Linked DNA regions of Xenopus tropicalis. The protein of the gene in region 2 purifies or fractionates together with the protein of the main gene of each other region. This does not show direct contact. Links are inferred from orthologs where the notes say so. Each region holds a gene or a part of one and is shown on either strand. Other genes may lie near its edges.

Region 1 (10,620 bases), on a different chromosome or scaffold from region 2:
CACATGTTTGGCCTTACAGACGTGACCCAGCAACTATACATTGCGGCTGTCAATTGTGCTGCAAAACTTTGTTGGGCTAGGTATGCAACAACCCCCCATCCATATATTCAATAAAAAGGGGTGGCGGTTATATTGTTGGTGTTTATGGAAGTCAACAGATCAGTTTTAATAGATCTATAGCCAGCAGAGTCAAGGAATAAGAACACATCAACTCCTATATATAAGTGCAAGCAGAAAGCTATACCTTAATTCTTTAGTTTTTGTTGAAGGAAAAATAATGAAAAAAAAATAACCCCTTATTTTAAATAGGCTTTTTCCCTTTAAAATGGGATATTTACCTTCAAATTAACTTTTAGCATGATGTAGAAAGTAATATTCAAGGACAATTTGCAATTGGCCTTCTTTTCTTATTTTTGGTTTGTGAACTAGTTAAAGCTTTTTGTTCAGCAGCTCACAATTTGGAATGCGAGAAGCTTACTGGTTCCTAGGTTGCAATCAGTGGTTTGCAAGAGAGACAAATGCAAACAGGAGAGGCCTAATTAGAAAGATAAGTAATAAATAAAAACAACAAAATTGTAGCCTCGTAGACCAACAGTTTTTTTGGCTGCTGGGGTCAGTGACCCTCACTAAGTTTGAAAGAGCCAGAAGAAAAAAAAATAATTAAACTATAAAAAAAAAAAATAAATGAACACCAATTAAAAAAAAGTTTGCCATTCTATAACATACTACAAGTTAACTTAAAGGTGATCAACCACATTAATTACAGGAAAGGCTGACCTTTTTGCTTTTTTGGGATTTCCTATTGTGAAGCTGTTACCCTGCATATTTTGAGGTAATTAGGTCACCGTTATTGCTTTTATGATCACAAATGAATAATTCATAAATGTCCCTCTATAAAAATTTTTTAAAAATACTAAGAACAGTAACAATCGCTATAAAGAGAAATAATGCAATAGCATACTTACTTTCCATCTTTAAAATATGTCTTTAGTGTGTCACTAAAACTTTTGGAGTATTTTACAAATTCTTTCTTTTGGTGCTCAAGTGCCTGTTGAAAAGGAGCACAATTAGTCCCACAAAACAAAATGTCCGGATCAAGAATGTGGCCACATTTGCAGTGTGTTGTTATAAGTATTATTTTTGTGATATCAATGTAAACAATGAAAGAGACTGCAAGGAAAGATTGTGACGTGTGTTGGTCACATGTGATGGTGGTCACACACATGGCGATTTGCAATCTTCGCACGAAAGATCGTACAATCAGCCACAAACCGTTCAGGGCTGAAACGACAGATAAGGAGGTAGAAACAATAGGATTTCTACCTCCTTCTGCCGATTCAGTGATGGAGGCAGATTTTGGTCAGGCGCCTTCTATGGCGCCCGATCAAAATCTTTTAACTGGCCCGATCGGCGAGTCGACCGATATCAGACTTGCCATACACGCACCGAATATCATACGAAACGAGATTTCGTACGATATTATCGGTGCGTGTATGGCCAGCTTAACCCAGTGGTGAAGGTAAAGCTGTGAAGTCCAAACACTGTTTACAAGTGGAAGTGGATAAAGCATCAATGTAAATAAAGAATATGGCAAAGCTACTTACTCTGCGGTTCTGGTACTGATACTTTTTGAAGACATTGTTGACTGTGTCAAGAAGCTCCTTTATTGCACTAGCTATGTCTCTATAAAGTTAAAGAAAAAAAAATAATTTTATCTTAGCACACCTTGAACCTTGGATTCAACACTGTTGCTGTCCTAAAACAGATAATACATTTTGTATATACAAGTATTGTGGCATATACAGTGCTTAGCATGCTGTGCATACATTTGAGACAACAAAATATTTAGCACAGGCTACAAAACAATGTAATGAAACAAATATTAGGGTTCGTTTACAAGGGGTGGGGGTGGAAGAACAGGCACATGCTGTAGCCCACAATAGACGGTTCCATCTGGTGTAACTCTTTGCCAGAGCCAAATACAATAATGGTGGCAGTCAGAATAAGTGCTGTGTTTAGGGCTCCCTTATCTTGTAATACAACCAAGATGTGCAATTGGAACAAGAATGCAAAGTAGCTAATCTTTCCAAGCCCCAGGTGCAATCAGTATGTGCAATGAATGATAAATGGGGCAATGTTGCACTAACATCCCTAGTGCCTGCCATTACTAAATGAGCCTTATTGTGTCCAAAAACTGAATAATGATTAGAAATTTACAAGCTTTGAGAAATAAAGTTTTCCTAACACCACTTCTGAGCAGTCTCCATTGATCCAATATGCTTTCACTAAGAGAAGTCTTGTTTGACAATTCCGGAGCCACTAGGAACAGCAATGAGTGGCTTATCATGGCCTTAAACCTACTGGCAGTTCTACCATCAACATATTAAAGGAACAGTAACACTAAAAAATAAAAATGTTTTAAAATAATTAAAATATAATGTACTGTTGCCCTGCACTGGTAAAAGTTGCGTGTTTGCTTCGGAAAGACTACTATAGTTAATAGAAATAGCTGCTGTGTAGCCATGGGGGCAGCCATTTAAATTGAAAAAAGGAGAAAAGGCACAGGTTACATAAGAAGATACCAGATAAACTGTGTAGAATACAATGGGAATCTATGCTACTTATCTGTTATCTGCTTAGTAACCTGTGCCTTTTCTCCTTTTTTCAAATTAAATGGCTGCCCCCATGGCTACACAGCAGGGTATTTATATAAACTGCAGTAGTGTTTATGAAGAAAACACACAACTTTTACTAGTGCCGAGCAATAGTATATATTATTTTTATACACTTTCATTTTTTGGTGTTACTGTTCCTTTAAGTGCATTTGTTTAGGGTGGTGCACAAGTTAACAGAAATGGGAAAAACTACCCTGAACTTTCCCCAGGATAGTCTCGAAATGCACATGACTTCTTTCTTATTCCTTGCTCTCCTATCTTTAGCTTAAAGGGACACTATAAACCATTGGGTTAACAAACTGAATAGAGCTTATGCTAAAAATACTTTTGCCTGTTTAATTAACGAAATAGCTATGGTACTTGTGGGAGGAGAAAAAGGAAGAAGAGAGGGCAGTTAATACATTTACCCTTTCCAGGTAAACTAGTGCTGATGTCTCCTAACAACCTGACCTGAGACGATAATGTTCTAATGTATCAGGAACCGCTTTATCACTTTCTTTATTAGACGTTGCATACAATCTTCAAAAATAAAATAATCCTCACAGCATCCCATGGGCACATAGGATATGCCAGTGCTTAGTAGATGTGCATAATGTGCTTACTTGATTGTCTGTAGGAATCTCACTCTGTCATTAATTTCATCAGGAATCTTGCTAAGGATCTGTTTAAGTGCCCGTGCTTTTTCATTCAATTCCTGGAATTCTGGTTCTGGCCGTTCAACCATATACTCTAAAAAATAAAGATGTGGATGTTTAATAGCAAAGGCAGCAATAATCCTCAATAATCATTATACTTCCTAGACTAGAGGTGTATGAACAGGAGAAGGTTGTAACTGAGGAGATGCACTTATACAGAGATGTGTGTTTTTGTGTTTACCTTCAACATCATCAGCGGCCATGCGCAACAAAGACTCAGTGAAGTTAACTTCTACACTCTTCTTTTCAAGAATTTTTGTAATTATATCTTGTGTGAGCCCCGGATTTTCTTTTTCTGCCTGCGAAATAAAGAAACAGATACATTGGTTTCCTAATGTTGACAGCATTAGAATGTGTGCAACCTATTTTTATTCATGTCTGTGTATTGGAGCATTAAAAGTTGTGAATACAAGAAAGATAATTCTAATAAACACTTTTAAGTCAATGGTGCAAATACAGCCATTTATAAATTGCCTACTTCGCATAAGTCAACTGCGGTGGCAAAATGGGGGTATGGTCTATTGGAAAGCAAAGCAGTAAAAACAGACCAGGGCATCACCATGCTGCTCTAAGTTTAAAATTAAAAGTAATAGCTAATGTTTTAGAACATATATTTACATTGCCTTTAAAGTTGCCCAATCATTACATTTCCCCCCGACTGCTCTATGAGCTATTTTAAACATATCTGTAATTTTGGGATTCCAATATCGGACTGTCAGCTCAGCAGCTGTGTCTTCAATTCACCCAGATATATAAAGCTATATAATAAAAGTTCTTTCCAAATTAAACACAAAACCCAAATTATTTTATTAAAAAATTCATATATGTTATAAAAAGGTACAAAAAATATCTGCTGTCAATAACATCTATTTCTCAGGCGGGCAGGCAATTACTTTTACTTTCCATTCTGCACTTCCTAGATGTCACTGCACTTCTCTCATTCCCTCCCACTGTCTATAATTGTGTAGCCTGGGCATGGGCATCAGGTACCGAATTCTGGCACATAAACAAGATTTTGGGATGATATCTTACTAACAGTTTCAACCACTGCAAAACAAAGAAAAGTAAATTGCAAAAATTCTGAAGATTACATTTTGAGCAAATGGAGCAGTTAATTTTTTGTAAAGGTGGTGAACAGGTCAATATAACAGATAGTTTTTTCAGCTGAAGGAGGGGGGGCAAAATGCAGAATCACAAGAAATTTGGTTGAGTTGGTGTAGCTCCACTATAAAGCAGACCAGCAGTCACAGCATGCCTTTAAGCAAATGACTCACTGGAAGTGTCTGAAAGAGATGCAGACAGTTAATCTGCTACATCTAGAAGAGAATGTAGGTCACCCTGGCAAACAAACAAGAGGTATCTGCTCCCCTTGGGTCAGAAGGAAAATCTTTAATTACATTTGCATTTCAAATGCTTGATTGCTATTCTGATGTGGGAAATTAAAAGGAAAATAAACCAATATATAACTTCAACCCTAAGGGGTATAGGAACAATCTCTGTGTTAAAGTCTGCTGGACTTGGCTGTGCTATTTAATAATTCAAACGGTATGAACTCCACACATTCTTATGGAAAACACTTGCAGAAGCATTTGCACCCTCAACAGGGGCTCTTGTCTAACAAAAGTCACATCCAGTATGTTCAGTTATGAAGAGGTTTAAATAAACCATTCATGTAAACTACTGCTGTTATTTTGAGTCATATATTCCGGGATATCCATTTTTAAGCCCTAAGGAGCAATGAATAAATACAGACATTTCCAAAATAATGAAGTGCTCTGTATTCCATTCATTTTATTCTGAGTTTACCCTGAAAATAACAGTCTCTCTTATTAAGTGATAGTTGTTAGAATATACCAATTCTGGGCACACATAGAAAGATCCACTCGCTTGGCAATGGTGCCAAATGGTGGATGTTTGCCTGATTCAGCCAACTAGGTACTGTGCCAGTGTCATAGCAGCAGGAGTTATTTAGTACTATTCTGAATTTAAAAAAAAAAAATCTTGGAGCAGACTACCTCCATAAAACTTTCTAGGTCAAAGTCACACACAGTGCCCAATACCTCAAGTGCAGACTGCATTGGTCTATCACAGCAGCCATGGGGCAAATTTTGGACTGAAAATGCTCAAGTGTACATAGTCCCACTGGGGGGGTAGCCTTCTCAGAAAAAGTTAATAAGGCAGCCCTGGATATCTCTATCTATGTAAAATAGCCCCACGAGTCAAAACTGGCACCTTTCCTGGGGTGATATGCAGATAGAAGAAACAATTTACCTTTATAAACGCTGCCCGTAGTGTCTGAGCTGCTGAAAGATTTACATGTTCTAGCTGGATGGGAAAGCAGACAGAATGCAAAACATTAACAGACTGAAGAAACTTTAGAAGAACATGGAGAATTGGAATAACACTGTGGCATCAAAGGATTTAAACCTCATTATGCATTGAGAAACAAGCAAATGTTTTCCTGACCATACATTGTAAATGGGAAGAGTCACAAAAAAATTCCATATCCCAGAAATTGTATTGGGAGTTAAAACATACTCATAACGTACTGCCTTTAAAACAGCTATAAGACCAGATAGGTTTCTCTTTAAATGGAGAATACTGTAAATAGTAAGATGACTTATGGTATGCTCAGATAATTTTAAGAACTAGACTTGTCCACCCCAAAAGCAATAAAATACATTAATGAATGTAATCCTACAATTTAACTTTGCCTAAAAAGTGCCTCATTACTACTGCACTGATCTACAACTACATGCTGGCTTTTATCAGAAAATGTAATGTTGTTCAGCTCATCTCTTCCCCAGTAGCCTGTACAGAGCTAGAACATATCACTATTAGGGCTCTGGCACAAGGGGAGATTAGTCGCCCGCGACAAATCTCCCTGTTCGCGGACGACTAATCTCCCCGAAATGCCATCCCTCCGGCGAGAATGTTAATCGCCGGTGGGATGGCATACGCGGCGCCGCAATTTTACATTTTCGCTGGTGGGATGGCAATTTGGGGAGATTAGTCGCCCGCGAAAAGGGAGATTTATCACGGGCGACTAATCTCCCCGTGTGCCAGAGCCCTTAAAGCAAAGGTATTCCCTGTACCAAGCATAATTTAGCAGGACAACTTTAGGACAGATACGAACAGATAAGCTGCATTCCTTACCATGACTCCTGATATAATTGATTACACAAGAAAAACAGAGTTTTTTTTTTTTTTTATTTACCCCCCCGTTGACAAAACTAAATTTGAGACACAAAGATCTACTAACCTCATTAAAAACTGGATACATAACTGCATAAAGGGGCATGGAAACCATAGAAGTGGTCTCTGCTTCATTCTTCATCTCTTCCATTGTCATCCTCATTCAAAGAGACCGTACAGTTAGAAAATGATGCTATGGAAACCAGGAATACTTCATTCAGTGGGATGTTGATGCTCTAATATGATCAAGAAATTGTTTTCCTAAAAGTACCGGTAAAAAAAAAAAAAAAAAAAAGCAACATAAATAAGATACAAATTTACAGCATTATTTCCCCAATATTAAGAGCTTTTATAGTGTTTTTAAATCCAGGAAAACAACTGTGCAGAATAATTATCTCCTTAAAGGGGAAGGAAAGGCTAAGTCACTTGGGGGTGCTAAAATGTTAAAGCACCCCCAAGTGACTTGAATCGCTTACCTCGTACCCCAGGCTGGTGCCCCTATTAGGAGAAAACCGCACCAGCCCGGGGCACCTGGAGCGATGCGCTTCCTCCTTCCTGCTCCGTTCAGCCTTGACTGAGTCAGGCGCATGCGCAGTAGAGTGAAAAAGCCGACTTCTCTGTTATAGTTCGGCTTTTCACTCTACTGCGCGCGCGGCAAAGAAGGAAGGAGGAAGTGCTGCAGGTACCCCGGGCTGGTGCTGTTCTCTCCGTACAGGGGCACCAGACCGGGGTACGGGGTAAGCGATTCAAGTCACTTGGGGGTGCCCAACATATTGCCACCCCCAAGTGACTTAGCTTTTCCTTCTCCTTTAAGGCAGTATCAGTAGGCATCCAACCCAAAATCATGAAGTCACGCATGGCCGACTTTCTATTGATCCGATCTGTCAAATAATGGCTTTTCTGTAAGCTCAATGTATCAGGCTCCCAAGAAAGAAAATCCATTTAATTGCCCTTATTTAAAAGGGCACAATATCTGCTTTCTAATTCTTGCACTAAACAGGGCAACATTTAAAACTGAATGTAAACTCACATTATTGCACTGTTTGTACAATCACACTTAAAACAAACTGTCAGTCCACTCAGATGCCTTTGTTAGGCTTTTTAATAAAAAGCAGCTCATAATACAGATGGGGCTTCTTAGTGGAGTACCAATTGTTTTGATTGTGCTTATACAAACATGAATCAGTACATGACTTAAGTTCCCCTGTTAAGGGAAAGATATAAAAATACATACATATTTCAATTGAAACAGCAGGCAATAAAAAAAAAAAAAAAAAAAAAAACAGCACAAGCCCTAACCAATGAACTTAAGATTAGTAAGCAGGTATGCTCCTTTAAACGTTTTTGAAAATGTTTTTTTGATTAGGTTTTTCTATAAATGGTTTAGTTGAGGGAAAAATGTATAGGGAATGCAGATTTTGTGGTGCAGCATAGGGAAATCTGACTAAAGGTGCCCATACATGGGGTCAGTCCTCTATGGCAGTGCTGTCCAACTTCTGTGTTACCGAGGGCCGGAATTTTTCCGGCCTCCGTGGTGGAGGGCCGATAATGGAAGCTAGTTTTGACCACCTCCCTTTTTAAAACCACACCCATGTTATCGCATGACCATATCCATATTTATGGTGGTAGTACAGCAAAAACCTGCCATACTCTGCCTTCCCTACCCTGCCTGTGTGTGCCATACTCTGCCTGCGTGTGTGCCCTACCCTGCCTGTGTGTGTGTGTGTGTGTGTGTGTGTGTGTGTGTGCCCTACTCTGCCTTCCCTACCCTGCCTGTGTGTATGGCACATACAGGCAGCAATAGGGTAGGCAGAGTATGGCACACACAGGCAGCCTACAGTGACGCAATGCTGGCACTGCTCCCACAGTCTGCACAATAACTATATATTAAAAAACCTTTTTAATTGCAGTACCACCACAGTATATGTTCTTTTTATAGTGTGCAGGTTTATTTGTGGGTTTCTAGTGCTCCTACAGTCTGAGGTGTGAACAGGTGAACAATGTGGGTGATTACAGCCTGAGCCTGAGGTGTGAACACTGCAGGGGGTGAATAATACAGTGGATTACATTTTTAAACAATACAGGGGGTTTACAGCCTGAATCTGAGGTGTTAACCATGCAGGGGGGCAGTACTGATACCATTTAAAGGAGAAGGAAAGGTTAAGTCACTTGGGGGTGCCAAAATGTTAGGCCCCAAGTGACTTAGAACGCCTACCTTGTACCCCGGGCTGGTGCCCCCGTACGGAGAGAACAGCACCAGCCCGGGGCAGCTGCCGGCGCTACCTGCTTCCTCCTCGCTTGCGCGCGCATGCGCAGTAGAGTGAAAAGCCGAACTTAAACATTAAAGTCGGCTTTTCACTCTACTGCGCATGCGCCGGCCCACGGATTTCGGCAGCAGCGCGCAAAGGAAGGAGGAAGCGGTGTCTACAGGTGCCCCGGGCTGGTGCTGTTTTCTCCTAACGGGGGCACCAGCCCGGGGTACAAGGTAGGTCATGTAAGTCACTTGGGGGTGCCTAACATTTTGGCACCCCCAAGTGACTTAGCCTTTCCTTCTCCTTTAAAGCTTACACAAAGGTAAGCCATCAAAGCAGCCAGACAGGTGGGGGGGGCCACACAGAGGGGGGTCGCGGGCCGCCAGTTGGACAGCACTGCTCTATGGTATTTGTCAGACTGGCCAGCCTAATCGATCAAAGCCATATGAAAGATATAAATGTATGCCTACCTTCCAATGTTCTCTTTTAGGCCAACAAGTATTTTCATATGGCAATGTACTTCCCAAATAGGTGTATTAGCAGATAACATTTTGGAATGTGCCAAACCAGACATTACACAACATTCTAGACAAAACTCCAGGGCATTGAGACATAAAACACTTATTTATAAAATGCCAACAAATTTCACAGCACTGTAGAAAAGGATGCATACATTATATATTAAAAAAAAAACAACCAATACAAGAGGCAAAGAGGGCCCTGTCCAAAAGATCTTGCAATCTAAAAGGAGAAGGGGTTAAGGTGTTAAGGACGGGCAATATCAGGTGAAAGATGTGGAACGGAACATTGCATTTAGCAGTATATAGTGCACAGTGAAGCTATGCTAAGCTAGATGAGGGAAAGCCTCTCTAAAGAAATGTGTTTTAAAAGATATTTTAAAGGCAGAAAGATTGCAAGAGAGTTGGACAGGCGGTGGGAGAGAATTCCAAAGAAAGTATGCAGCTCGTGTGAGGAGGGGGATATTAGATAAACATAAAAAGTTGGTTTGGGGAATATCTGCAGAGGCTTTCAGAGATGTAGAGTGGGGCAGAGTTATTGAATGTGAGGGTCATGGCAGAAGAGGTCAGTTACTGAGGTACATGAACCTAGAGCCACTATTTCTTATAAACTGGAAAGGTGACTTTGCAGGGGAAGGCCAGTTAATCAGTAATCAAAGCATAACATGATGAGAAAGTAAATCATAATTTTGGTAGCATTGGTGATAAATGATCACATTATGGCAATATTGCTCAGGTGAAAGTGACATGATTTAATGAGTGACTGGATATGGAGTAAGGGCTGTGGCACACGGGGGAGATTAGTCGCCCGCGACAAATCTCCCTTGTTACGGGCGTCTAATTTCCCGGAAATACGCATACGCGGCGCCGCAATTTCCCGAAATCGTGGAAGTTGCCTTGAGAGGACACTTCTGCGATTTCTGAGAAAGCAGATAAGCAGGAAGAGACCCGCATTAAAGGGGTAGTTCACCTTTGTACAGGTATGGGATCCCTTATCCGGAAACCAGTTATCCAGAAAGCTCCGAATTACGGAAAGGCCATCTACCATAGACTCCATTATAAGCAAATAATTCTAATTTTTGAAAATAATTTCCTTTTTCTCTGTAATAAAACAGTACTTTGTACTTGATCCCAACTAAGATATAATGAATCCTTATTGGAGGCAATACAAGCGTATTGGGTTTATTTGATATTTAAATTATTTTTAGCTGACTTAAGTTATGGAGATACAAATTATGGAAAGATCCTTTATCCGGAAAACCCCAGGTCCAGAGCATTCTGTATA
Region 2 (11,125 bases):
GTGAGCTTACAATCTAAGGTCCCTATCCATTCCCATCAGCCCCTGCCCCAGTGAGCTTACAATCTAAGGTCCCTATCACATTCCCATCAGCCCCTGCCCCAGTGAGCTTACAATCTAAGGTCCCTATCCCATTCCCATCAGTCCCTGCCCCAGTGAGCTTACAATCTAAGGTCCCTATCACATTCCCATCAGTCCCTGCCCCAGTGAGCTTACAATCTAAGGTCCCTATCCCATTCCCATCAGCCCCTGCCCCAGTGAGCTTACAATCTAAGGTCCCTATCCCATTCCCATCAGTCCCTGCCCCAGTGAGCTTACAATCCAAGGGCCCTATCCCATTCCCATCAGCCCCTGCCCCAGTGAGCTTACAATCTAAGGGCCCTATCCCATTCCCATCAGCCCCTGCCCCAGTGAGCTTACAATCTAAGGTCCCTATCCCATTCCCATCAGCCCCTGCCCCAGTGAGCTTACAATCTAAGGTCCCTATCCCATTCCCATCAGTCCCTGCCCCAGTGAGCTTACAATCTAAGGTCCCTATCACATTCCCATCAGTCCCTGCCCCAGTGAGCTTACAATCTAAGGTCCCTATCCCATTCCCATCAGCCCCTTGCCCCAGTGAGCTTACAATCTAAGGTCCCTATCCCATTCCCATCAGCCCCTGCCCCAGTGAGCTTACAATCTAAGGCCCCTATACCATTCCCATCAGTCCCTGCCCCAGTGAGCTTACAATCTAAGGCCCCATACCATTCCCATCAGCCCCTGCCCCAGTGAGCTTACAATCTAAGGTCCCTATCCCATTCCCATCAGCCCCTGCCCCAGTGAGCTTACAATCTAAGGCCCCTATACCATTCCCATCAGCCCCTGCCCCAGTGAGCTTACAATCTAAGGTCCCTATCCCATTCCCATCAGTCCCTGCCCCAGTGAGCTTACAATCTAAGGTCCCTATCCCATTCCCATCAGTCCCTGCCCCAGTGAGCTTACAATCTAAGGTCCCTATCCCATTCCCATCAGTCCCTGCCCCAGTGAGCTTACAATCTAAGGTCCCCATCACATTCCCCTCAGTCCCAGTGAGCTTACAATTCAATGTAACCAGTTGTACCTATGGAGTGCAGTATATATTTCATATCCATGGTACTTACCCTTTGCCCCCTGGGCTGGGGTGATGCAGGGATGGGGGGAACACAATGGCCGTTACAGACGAGATGCAGGGAGTCTGGATGCACCTGGGGTGTCTCCTTTTCTCACCATTCTGACCTTACAGGGAGAGAGAAGACATGTTGGTGCCGGGGCTACACAAGCAGTAGGGCAGCTCCCACCTCTCATACTATTCAGACTCATGAACTGTAGAACCCCCCCCCCCCCCCACCTTCCATTTCCCTCAAATTCTCTTCCCAGTTCTACTCCCCAAATCCTGCCCCCCCTGCACTCCCGTCCCACAAGTCCTAGGGTGCCCCTGGGTACCCCTGTGTCCTTCCCTACTCACCTCCCGTCACAGGCCTGAGCAGCTCATCGCTACCCCATTAATCGTACGTTTTGCCCTTTCATGCTGTTTGGTCCCTGCCGCTTTCTGTTTTTAGTAGATCTTATCCAGGGGGGCGGGCACTAATCGCCTGGAGATACAGTGATTGGCTAATTTAATAGATGAGCAGGAAGATACTGTGAGCGAATATCCGCTACAAGAGGGCTTTGCGCTGTAGGGAGCCGGACCTCTAGCAGCGAAACGTCTGTGAAATACAGTTTTCCAGTCGGAATTATATTCAGGGCGGCCCTTTGCACCGGAAGTGACGTCCTTGACAGGTTCTCAGAAGGCATGCGCGTAGCGTCACCTGCGGTTTCAGCTGAGTTTGGCTTCACTGACGGGACCAGGGCGGAAACGGAAGGGCTGGGAGCTCTGGGACCGAATCTGCCGCTTGTGGGGTGACAGGGTAAGTACGGGCAATGGCTGGCACCCTCACTCACTGGCACCCTCACTCACTGGCACCCTCACTCACTCACTCACTCACCGGCACCCTCACTCCTACATACACTCACTGACTGACTGGCACCCTCACTCCTACATACACTCACTCACTGACTGGCACCCTCACTCTTACATACACTCACTCACTGACTGGCACCCTCCCTCTTACATACACTCACTGACTGACTGGCACCCTCACTCCTACACTCACTCACTGACTGACTGGCACCCTCCCTCTTACATACACTCACTCACTGACTGGCACCCTCACTCCTACATACACTCACTCACTGACTGGCACCCTCCCTCTTACATACACTCACTCACTGACTGGCACCCTCACTCCTACATACACTCACTCACTGACTGGCACCCTCCCTCTTACATACACTCACTCACTGACTGGCACCCTCACTCCTACATACACTCACTCACTGACTGGCACCCTCACTCCTACATACACTCACTGACTGACTGGCACCCTCACTCCTACATACACTCACTCACTGACTGGCACCCTCCCTCTTACATACACTCACTCACTGACTGGCACCCTCCCTCTTACATACACTCACTCACTGACTGGCACCCTCACTCCTACATACACTCACTCACTGACTGGCACCCTCCCTCTTACATACACTCACTGACTGACTGGCACCCTCACTCCTACATACACTCACTGACTGACTGGCACCCTCCCTCTTACATACACTCACTGACTGACTGGCACCCTCACTCCTACATACACTCACTGACTGACTGGCACCCTCACTCACTGACTGGCACCCTCCCTCTTACATACACTCACTCACTGACTGGCACCCTCCCTCTTACATACACTCACTGACTGACTGGCACCCTCACTCCTACATACACTCACTCACTGACTGGCACCCTCACTCCTACATACACTCACTGACTGACTGGCACCCTCACTCCTACATACACTCACTCACTGACTGGCACCCTCACTCCTACATACACTCACTGACTGACTGGCACCCTCACTCCTACATACACTCACTGACTGACTGGCACCCTCACTCCTACATACACTCACTGACTGACTGGCACCCTCACTCCTACATACACTCACTGACTGACTGGCACCCTCACTCCTACATACACTCACTCACTGACTGGCACCCTCACTCCTACATACACTCACTCACTGACTGGTACCCTCACTCCTACATACACTCACTCACTGACTGGCACCCTCACTCCTACATACACTCACTCACTGACTGGCACCCTCACTCCTACATACACTCACTCACTGACTGGCACCCTCACTCCTACATACACTCACTCACTGACTGGCACCCTCACTCCTACATACACTCACTGACTGACTGGCACCCTCACTCCTACATACACTCACTGACTGACTGGCACCCTCACTCCTACATACACTCACTCACTGACTGGCACCCTCACTCCTACATACACTCACTGACTGACTGGCACCCTCACTCCTACATACACTCACTGACTGACTGGCACCCTCACTCCTACATACACTCACTGACTGACTGGCACCCTCACTCACTCACTGGGCACCCTCACTCTTACATACACTCACTCACTGACTGGCACCCTCCCTCTTACATACACTCACTCACTGACTGGCACCCTCACTCTTACATACACTCACTCACTGACTGGCACCCTCACTCCTACATACACTCACTGACTGACTGGCACCCTCCCTCTTACATACACTCACTGACTGACTGGCACCCTCACTCCTACATACACTCACTCACTGACTGACTGGCACCCTCACTCCTACATACACTCACTGACTGACTGGCACCCTCACTCCTACATACACTCACTGACTGACTGGCACCCTCACTCCTACATACACTCACTGACTGACTGGCACCCTCACTCACTCACTGGCACCCTCACTCTTACATACACTCACTCACTGACTGGCACCCTCCCTCTTACATACACTCACTGACTGACTGGCACCCTCACTCTTACATACACTCACTCACTGACTGGCACCCTCACTCCTACATACACTCACTGACTGACTGGCACCCTCCCTCTTACATACACTCACTGACTGACTGGCACCCTCACTCCTACATACACTCACTGACTGACTGGCACCCTCCCTCTTACATACACTCACTCACTGACTGGCACCCTCACTCCTACATACACTCACTGACTGACTGGCACCCTCACTCACTCACTGGCACCCTCACTCTTACATACACTCACTCACTGACTGGCACCCTCCCTCTTACATACACTCACTCACTGACTGGCACCCTCACTCTTACATACACTCACTGACTGACTGGCACCCTCACTCCTACATACACTCACTGACTGACTGGCACCCTCACTCTTACATACACTCACTGACTGACTGGCACCCTCCCTCTTACATACACTCACTGACTGACTGGCACCCTCCCTCTTACATACACTCACTCACTGACTGGCACCCTCACTCCTACATACACTCACTCACTGACTGGCACCCTCCCTCTTACATACGCTCACTCACTGACTGGCACCCTCACTCCTACATACACTCACTGACTGACTGGCACCCTCACTCCTACATACACTCACTGACTGACTGGCACCCTCACTCTTACATACACTCACTCACTGACTGGCACCCTCACTCTTACATACACTCACTGACTGACTGGCACCCTCACTCTTACAAACACTCACTGACTGACTGGCACCCTCACTCCTACACTCACTGACTGACTGGCACCCTCACTCCTACATACACTCACTCACTGACTGGCACCCTCACTCCTACACTCACTCACTGACTGGCACCCTCACTCCTACACTCACTGACTGACTGGCACCCTCACTCCTACACTCACTGACTGACTGGCACCCTCACTCCTACACTCACTGACTGACTGGCACCCTCACTCCTACACTCACTGACTGACTGGCACCCTCACTCCTACACTCACTGACTGACCGGCACCCTCACTCCTACATACACTCACTGACTGGCACCCTCACTCCTACATACACTCACTCACTGACTGGCACCCTCACTCCTACATACACTCACTCACTGACTGGCACCCTCACTCCTACATACACTCACTGACTGACTGGCACCCTCACTCCTACACTCACTGACTGACTGGCACCCTCACTCCTACACTCACTGACTGACTGGTACCCTCACTCCTACACTCACTGACTGACTGGCACCCTCACTCCTACACTCACTGACTGACTGGCGCCCTCACTCCTACACTCACTGACTGACTGGCACCCTCACTCACACACTCCTGTTCTTCCCAGGAACCATGAGCTGTACCATAGAGAAGGTTCTGGCCGACGCTAAAGCCTTAGTGGAGCGACTGCGGGAACACGATGGGGCGGCAGAAGTGCTTATTGAGCAGACGACTACGCTGAATAAACGAGTGGAAGCCATGAAACAGGTAATGCCCAACCCACAGCCTTTATCTACTGGTGCCCAGCGGGCCCCTTGCTTTTAAATCTGCAGCCCTCCAGCTTGTGTAGACTACAACTCCCTGCATCCCCGTGGCTGTTGGGGAGTTGTCCCCGCTTAAAGCTGGAGGCTCAGGACAGAGGAAGGTGCTGAAATGTCAGCCTGCAATTGAGTATGAGTGTGAGTGTGACACGACCTGTTGCTGCATTTACAGTACCAAGAGGAGGTCCAGGAGCTGAATGAGATCGCGCGGCACCGCCCACGTTCTACTCTGGTCCTTGGCATCCAGCAAGAGAACCGGCAAATTCGCCAACTTCAGCAGGAAAACAAAGGTTGGATTCGCCAGCTTATCTGCCCATGTATGGGCTCCCCTGCCAGGCCTGCCTGGCCAATGTCTGGCCTAAAATTGGGCAGATCCTGATAGGGCAGGTTTGATTTTCCTGTCCAATGGCGCCTATGGGCTCGATGTATTTATATAGTGCATTATATATTGAATTAGCATGATATGTGGCATATAGGGAGAAGATTCACCTTTTAAGTTAACTTTTAGTATGATGTAGAGAGTTTGCAATTGGTCTTAATTTTTTATTATTTGTAGTTTTATAGTTATTTCCTTTTCAGTTTAGGAGCTCTGCAGTTTGGAATTTCAGCAGCTATTTGGTTGCTAGGGTCCGAGTTACCTTAGCAACCAGGGAGTAGTTTGGATGGGAGACAGGTATATGAATAGGGGAGGGGCTGAATAGAAAGATAAGGAATAAAAAGTAACAATAACAATAAATCTGGAGCCTCACAGAGCAATAGGGTTTGGCTCCCGGGGTCAGTGACCCCCTTTTGAAAGCTGCAAAGAGTCAGAAGAAGAAGGCAAATCATTCAAAAACTATAAGAAATAAATAATGAAGACCAATTGAAAAGTTGCTTAGAGTAGGTCATTCTATAACATACTTAAAGGTGAGGGGGCTAGTGCAGAGATGTAACAAAGCTGATCCCTGTGTCTCACAGAGTTACGCACCTCCCTAAAGGAGCACCAGTCGGCCCTGGAACTCATCATGAGTAAGTACCGGGAGCAGATGTTCCGCCTGCTGATGGCCAGCAAAAAGGACGACCCCGGCATTATTATGAAGCTGAAAGAGCAACATTCCAAGGTACATTCTCTCCCTGAGGTAGGTGGGAAAGGGTTAAACTTAGGGCAAACCCCACTGACCCCCAATAAACTGACTTATTAGCACATTAATCAGTGCAACTATGTATATGAACTATTTATATTGTGTGCACAAGGGGCGTGGCCAAAACAAGGGGCGTGGCTAAAATATTGGTACTACACGCTTGTGTTCATGGTGGGGGGCATTTAAATGAACTTGTGCGGGGCCCCAAGGTTTCTGATGCCGTAAGTGCAGGTAACTACCAAAGCTTTGTAATTCAGGGGGGGCCAACCCCCAATTTAAAGTGCAGAATTATCAAATGGGAAAATTAACGACCGTCCCCCTGATTGTCCCCCCCGTGTAGGAGCTTCAGGCCCACATAGAGAAAATCACCGAAATGACTGCGGTAATGAAACGGGCCATTGAAATCGACGAGCAGCAGGGTAACCAAGAGCACGACCGCATCGTTAAACTGGAGGTAGGTACCTGCCGGCTGTGAGACTGCTCAGTCAGTAGAAGGCTCGGCAAAGAGACAACGCCATTGGTTACAGAGCCAGGGGGTTGGGCTTAATGCACCACTAACACCGAATCCTTTGCAAAAGATTTGGCCGAATACTGCACTGAATCCTAATCCTAACTTGCATAAGCAAGGGTTAAAGGGGCGGTAGCTTTTAGTACGTTATAGAATGGCCAATTCCAAGCAACTTTTCAATTGGTCTTCATTATTTATTTCTTATAGTTTGTACATTATTTGCCTTCCTCTTCTCTTTGCAGCTTTCAAATGGGGGTCACTGACCCCGGCAGCCAAACCCTATTGCTCTGTGAGGCTCCAGTTTTATTGTTATTGTTACTTTTTATTCCTTATCTTTCTATTCAGCCCCTCCCCTATTCATATACCAGTTTCTCATCCCTGGTTGCCAAGGTAATTTGGACCCTAGCAACAGGATAACTGACCCCGGCAGCCAAAACCTATTGCTCTGTGAGGCTCCAGTTTTATTGTTATTGTTACTTTTTATTCCTTATCTTTCTATTCAGCCCCTCCCCTATTCATATATTATCCTCTCATTCTAACTGCTTCCTGGTCCCTAAGGTAATTAGGACCCTAGCAACCAGCTAGCTGCCAAAACTCCAAACTGCAGAGCTTCTAAACAAAAACTGAAATAATTAAAAAACTACATATAATAAAAAATGAAGACCAATTGCAAATGATCTCAGAATATCACTCTCTAGATCAGGCTAAACTCAAAGGGGAACATCCCCTTTAAGGAAGTAAAAGGTGAGGGATATGTAAGACGGTTGATGCTGATTGGCTGAAATGAGCTTTTCTTTACCCGCAGCAGGAAAACAAGTGGCTGAGGAAAACCCTACAGATCACCCGAGCATCTTTCCTTAATCTGCACAAAGAAGACGCGGCGGAAAGCTCCTCCCACTCTGCGTCGTCGGTCCCCAACACCGACCTGAGCTTAAGGAAAAGCTGAGCGCCCCCCCCCCCGGGCCCCCCAGTTTCTACCTGTTGTACGGGCGGAACCAGCCGGTGCCATTGGATCACTGGGTGTTTGAGCAGCAGCACCCGGAATGTAAATAGCGGCTACATTTTATGTCTGTGTGTGCGCCGGATCAGCGCCGTTTCCTATTGGTCCTCCGGCGACTCCAGAAGGTGAGAGAGCTTATATTTTAACTCGTTCTGGAGCAAAAGGAAATATTTTATGAAAACCCGAAGTCCATGAAGTGCTGTTTTATAGAATATATGGATATATTGTATCCACAAACATTCCAGCGATCCTTATATTACTGTGCTAGGGGGTAAAATGGCTGCATTTGCTTGTATTGCTCTCCGTATGCAAACAATACAATCCCATTGGCTGGCAATATCATTCCTGGGAATTGGCCAATGATGAATGAGCAGGGGCACCCTAACCAATAAGGGCCACCCAGCAAAAAAAAAACTGTTTTTGCAACACCCCCAAGTGAACACAGTCAGGATACTGAGTCTGTGACAGTAGAGCTGTCCCTGGTGCATACTTACCTTTGCCTAAACCAACAATAAAATGTTCATGGTTTCTTCTACGGTTTGTACTCAAATTATTATCTTTTTATTCTGCAGCCCATTACAGAGCCTGTTCCTGCTGAATTGTGCTTAGTACAGGGGAATCCCTATGTGCCATAGTTTTATGGTATCTCTCTGTACAGGCTATGAGCAAACTTAGGGGGCTGTTCCTGCTGAATTGTGCTTAGTACAGGGGAATCCCTATGTGCCATAGTTTTATGGTATCTCTCTGTACAGGCTATGGGCAAACTTAGGGGGCTGTTCCTGCTGAATTGTGCTTAGTACAGGGGAATCCCTATGTGCCATAGTTTTATGGTATCTCTCTGTACAGGCTATGAGCAAACTTAGGGGGCTGTTCCTGCTGAATTGTGCTTAGTACAGGGGAATCCCTATGTGCCATAGTTTTATGGTATCTCTCTGTACAGGCTATGAGCAAACTTAGGGGGCTGTTCCTGCTGAATTGTGCTCAGTACAGGGGAATCCCTATGTGCCATAGTTTTATGGTATCTCTCTGTACAGGCTATGGGCAAACTTAGGGGGGCTGTTCCTGCTGAATTGTGCTTAGTACAGGGGAATCCCTATGTGCCATAGTTTTATGGTATCTCTCTGTACAGGCTATGGGCAAACTTAGGGGGCTGTTCCTGCTGAATTGTGCTTAGTACAGGGGAATCCCTATGTGCCATAGTTTTATGGTATCTCTCTGTACAGGCTATGGGCAAACTTAGGGGGCTGTTCCTGCTGAATACACAGCACCAATAAGACACAAGGGAGTAATTCTCATCCAACACAGAAGTCTAATTGGCTTTTAATGGTTAAAGGCAAAGCACAAAGCAATTAAAACAAAATGAGTGCAAGTAGAAAGGCACAGTGTCGTTCCAAGCTCCTAAACAAGTCCCATATAGGCTGGGAGAGAATAGTAACGCCCCCTCCCAGCCAACCAATCAAAATCCAGTAAATATACAATACAGAACTTTCACATTAGAGAGGCCCTGCTGTGCTACCTGCACTCTCAGAGCAAGGCACTGGCATACTGTCCCTTTGGGGGTAGTTAGAGATTTCCAGCCTGGAGGGGGGGGGGCAGAAAATGCCCATTAACTCATTGCTGACCGGGTCGGTTCCAGCGCTGTAAACATAGGTTTAGGGGTGTATTTATTAACATTGGAGACAAACATCACCGATGGTGTTGTCCATAGCAACCAATCACATCTCTGCTTTAGTTTTTTCAACCATTGAAATCTGATTGGTTGCTATGGGGAACATCTCCAGTGTTAATAAATATACGCCCCTCAGTACAGATCCGGGTTATTGGTGCTAAGGAGGACGGGGTAGGCGGTGCCTATGTAACGCCCGTGGCGATTCACCACGATCTGCATTTCGTATTCCTCCACGCGGACGACCTCTCGGGTCATTTTCTCCTGGGACGTGAGGAAGACGACGGTGTAAAGGGCAAACTCGAACTCCGGGCTGACCCCGATGAAGCTGCTCCCTATGGGCTTCACCATCTCCTTCCAGCTGAACTGCAGGTTCAGAACTTGGTCGTCATGGTCCGGCTGCGGAGCGACAGAGAGAGCGGTATTAATGCACTGCCGTAAAGCAAGACACTGCTGCCGAAAAAAAGTCAAAAGTGATCTAGGAAGAAATTCACCCCCAGGAAACACGGCTCAGGATATGGAGTGTTAGCGCGTGTAACGTGTCCCTCCCCCTAGCGGTGGGCGACTTACCCGGCTCTTGTTCTGCCGCCCCACGTAGCCTTTGTAGTCGATGGTTTTCCTCTTCTCCTGGAGGTAGAACTGGACCCAGTTGTGGAGCCCCATTATCTCCTTCCCTCGCTTGGATTCCCCCACAAACACGTGCTCAAAGCCGCAGGAATCGGGTCTGGAAGGCAAGGCGAATGGTTGAACTACAACTGTACCTTGGAATGGTGGAACTACAACTCTTAACTGCCATTTTAATGGCCACCAGTGGTAGAAAGTGCCTCCTTGTTGCCCTGCTAGCCTACCTACTGCTGTGTGATACCCCTGGCTATTTCTTGCATAGGGGCAACACCAGCAAGGCACCCTGGTACCTACCCCTGCCCCGGCGCCCGGGAGTACAGCTGGAACCAAATGGTGTAGAGTTGGGCCTTGAAGTCGTTACGGCTGGGTTTGGCCTGGTTCTTCCTCACCAAGTAGTCATGTGCGATCTGTGGGGCAGAGAGAGGGGCCGTTAGGGCTTTGCCGAAGGGGCTAATGGGCCAATATGGCTCTGCCGGGGACCACTCACCTTCATCACTTTGGTTTCCAGAATAGCATCCAGGAAGGTGTTGTTTTCGGCTATTTCCTCTGGAGTCACAACCTCGGCCACCCCCGTGTCCATCTCGTAGTTATCCAGCAGAGAGATGAAGGCTACGCGGGGGAGACACAGCAGGTTACACCAGGGGGGACAGGCAGGCAGCGGGTGGCACCGGGGGAGACATGCAGGCAGCGGGTGGCACCGGGGGAGGCAGGCAGGCAGTGGGTCGCACCGGGGGAGGCAGG

What was found.
Region 1: the proteins of fgfr1op2 (region 2) and pdcd10 purify together in Homo sapiens (affinity purification with mass spectrometry; 3 studies listed by BioGRID and IntAct, counting the BioPlex papers as one, with this or other methods). This does not show direct contact. The link is inferred for Xenopus tropicalis from reciprocal best matches to the Homo sapiens genes FGFR1OP2 and PDCD10.

What each region holds. Positions count from the first base shown.
Region 1 is NC_030681.2:112,904,032-112,914,651, reverse strand, and holds part of pdcd10 (programmed cell death protein 10), read right to left. Parts: intron 6,827-10,620; 5' UTR 6,729-6,826; coding exon 6,633-6,728; intron 5,696-6,632; coding exon 5,642-5,695; intron 3,670-5,641; coding exon 3,552-3,669; intron 3,405-3,551; coding exon 3,278-3,404; intron 1,684-3,277; coding exon 1,605-1,683; intron 1,049-1,604; coding exon 966-1,048; intron 1-965. UniProt on the Homo sapiens protein: Promotes cell proliferation. Modulates apoptotic pathways. Increases mitogen-activated protein kinase activity and STK26 activity. Important for cell migration, and for normal structure and assembly of the Golgi complex.
Region 2 is NC_030679.2:2,582,366-2,593,490, forward strand, and holds fgfr1op2 (FGFR1 oncogene partner 2 homolog), read left to right. Parts: upstream 1-1,818; 5' UTR 1,819-1,922; intron 1,923-5,272; 5' UTR 5,273-5,277; coding exon 5,278-5,412; intron 5,413-5,637; coding exon 5,638-5,755; intron 5,756-6,422; coding exon 6,423-6,565; intron 6,566-6,926; coding exon 6,927-7,040; intron 7,041-7,899; coding exon 7,900-8,040; 3' UTR 8,041-8,629; downstream 8,630-11,125. Other genes in the region: endoul (poly(U)-specific endoribonuclease), read right to left, coding at 9,896-10,159, 10,331-10,484, 10,679-10,791, 10,872-10,993. UniProt on the Homo sapiens protein: May be involved in wound healing pathway.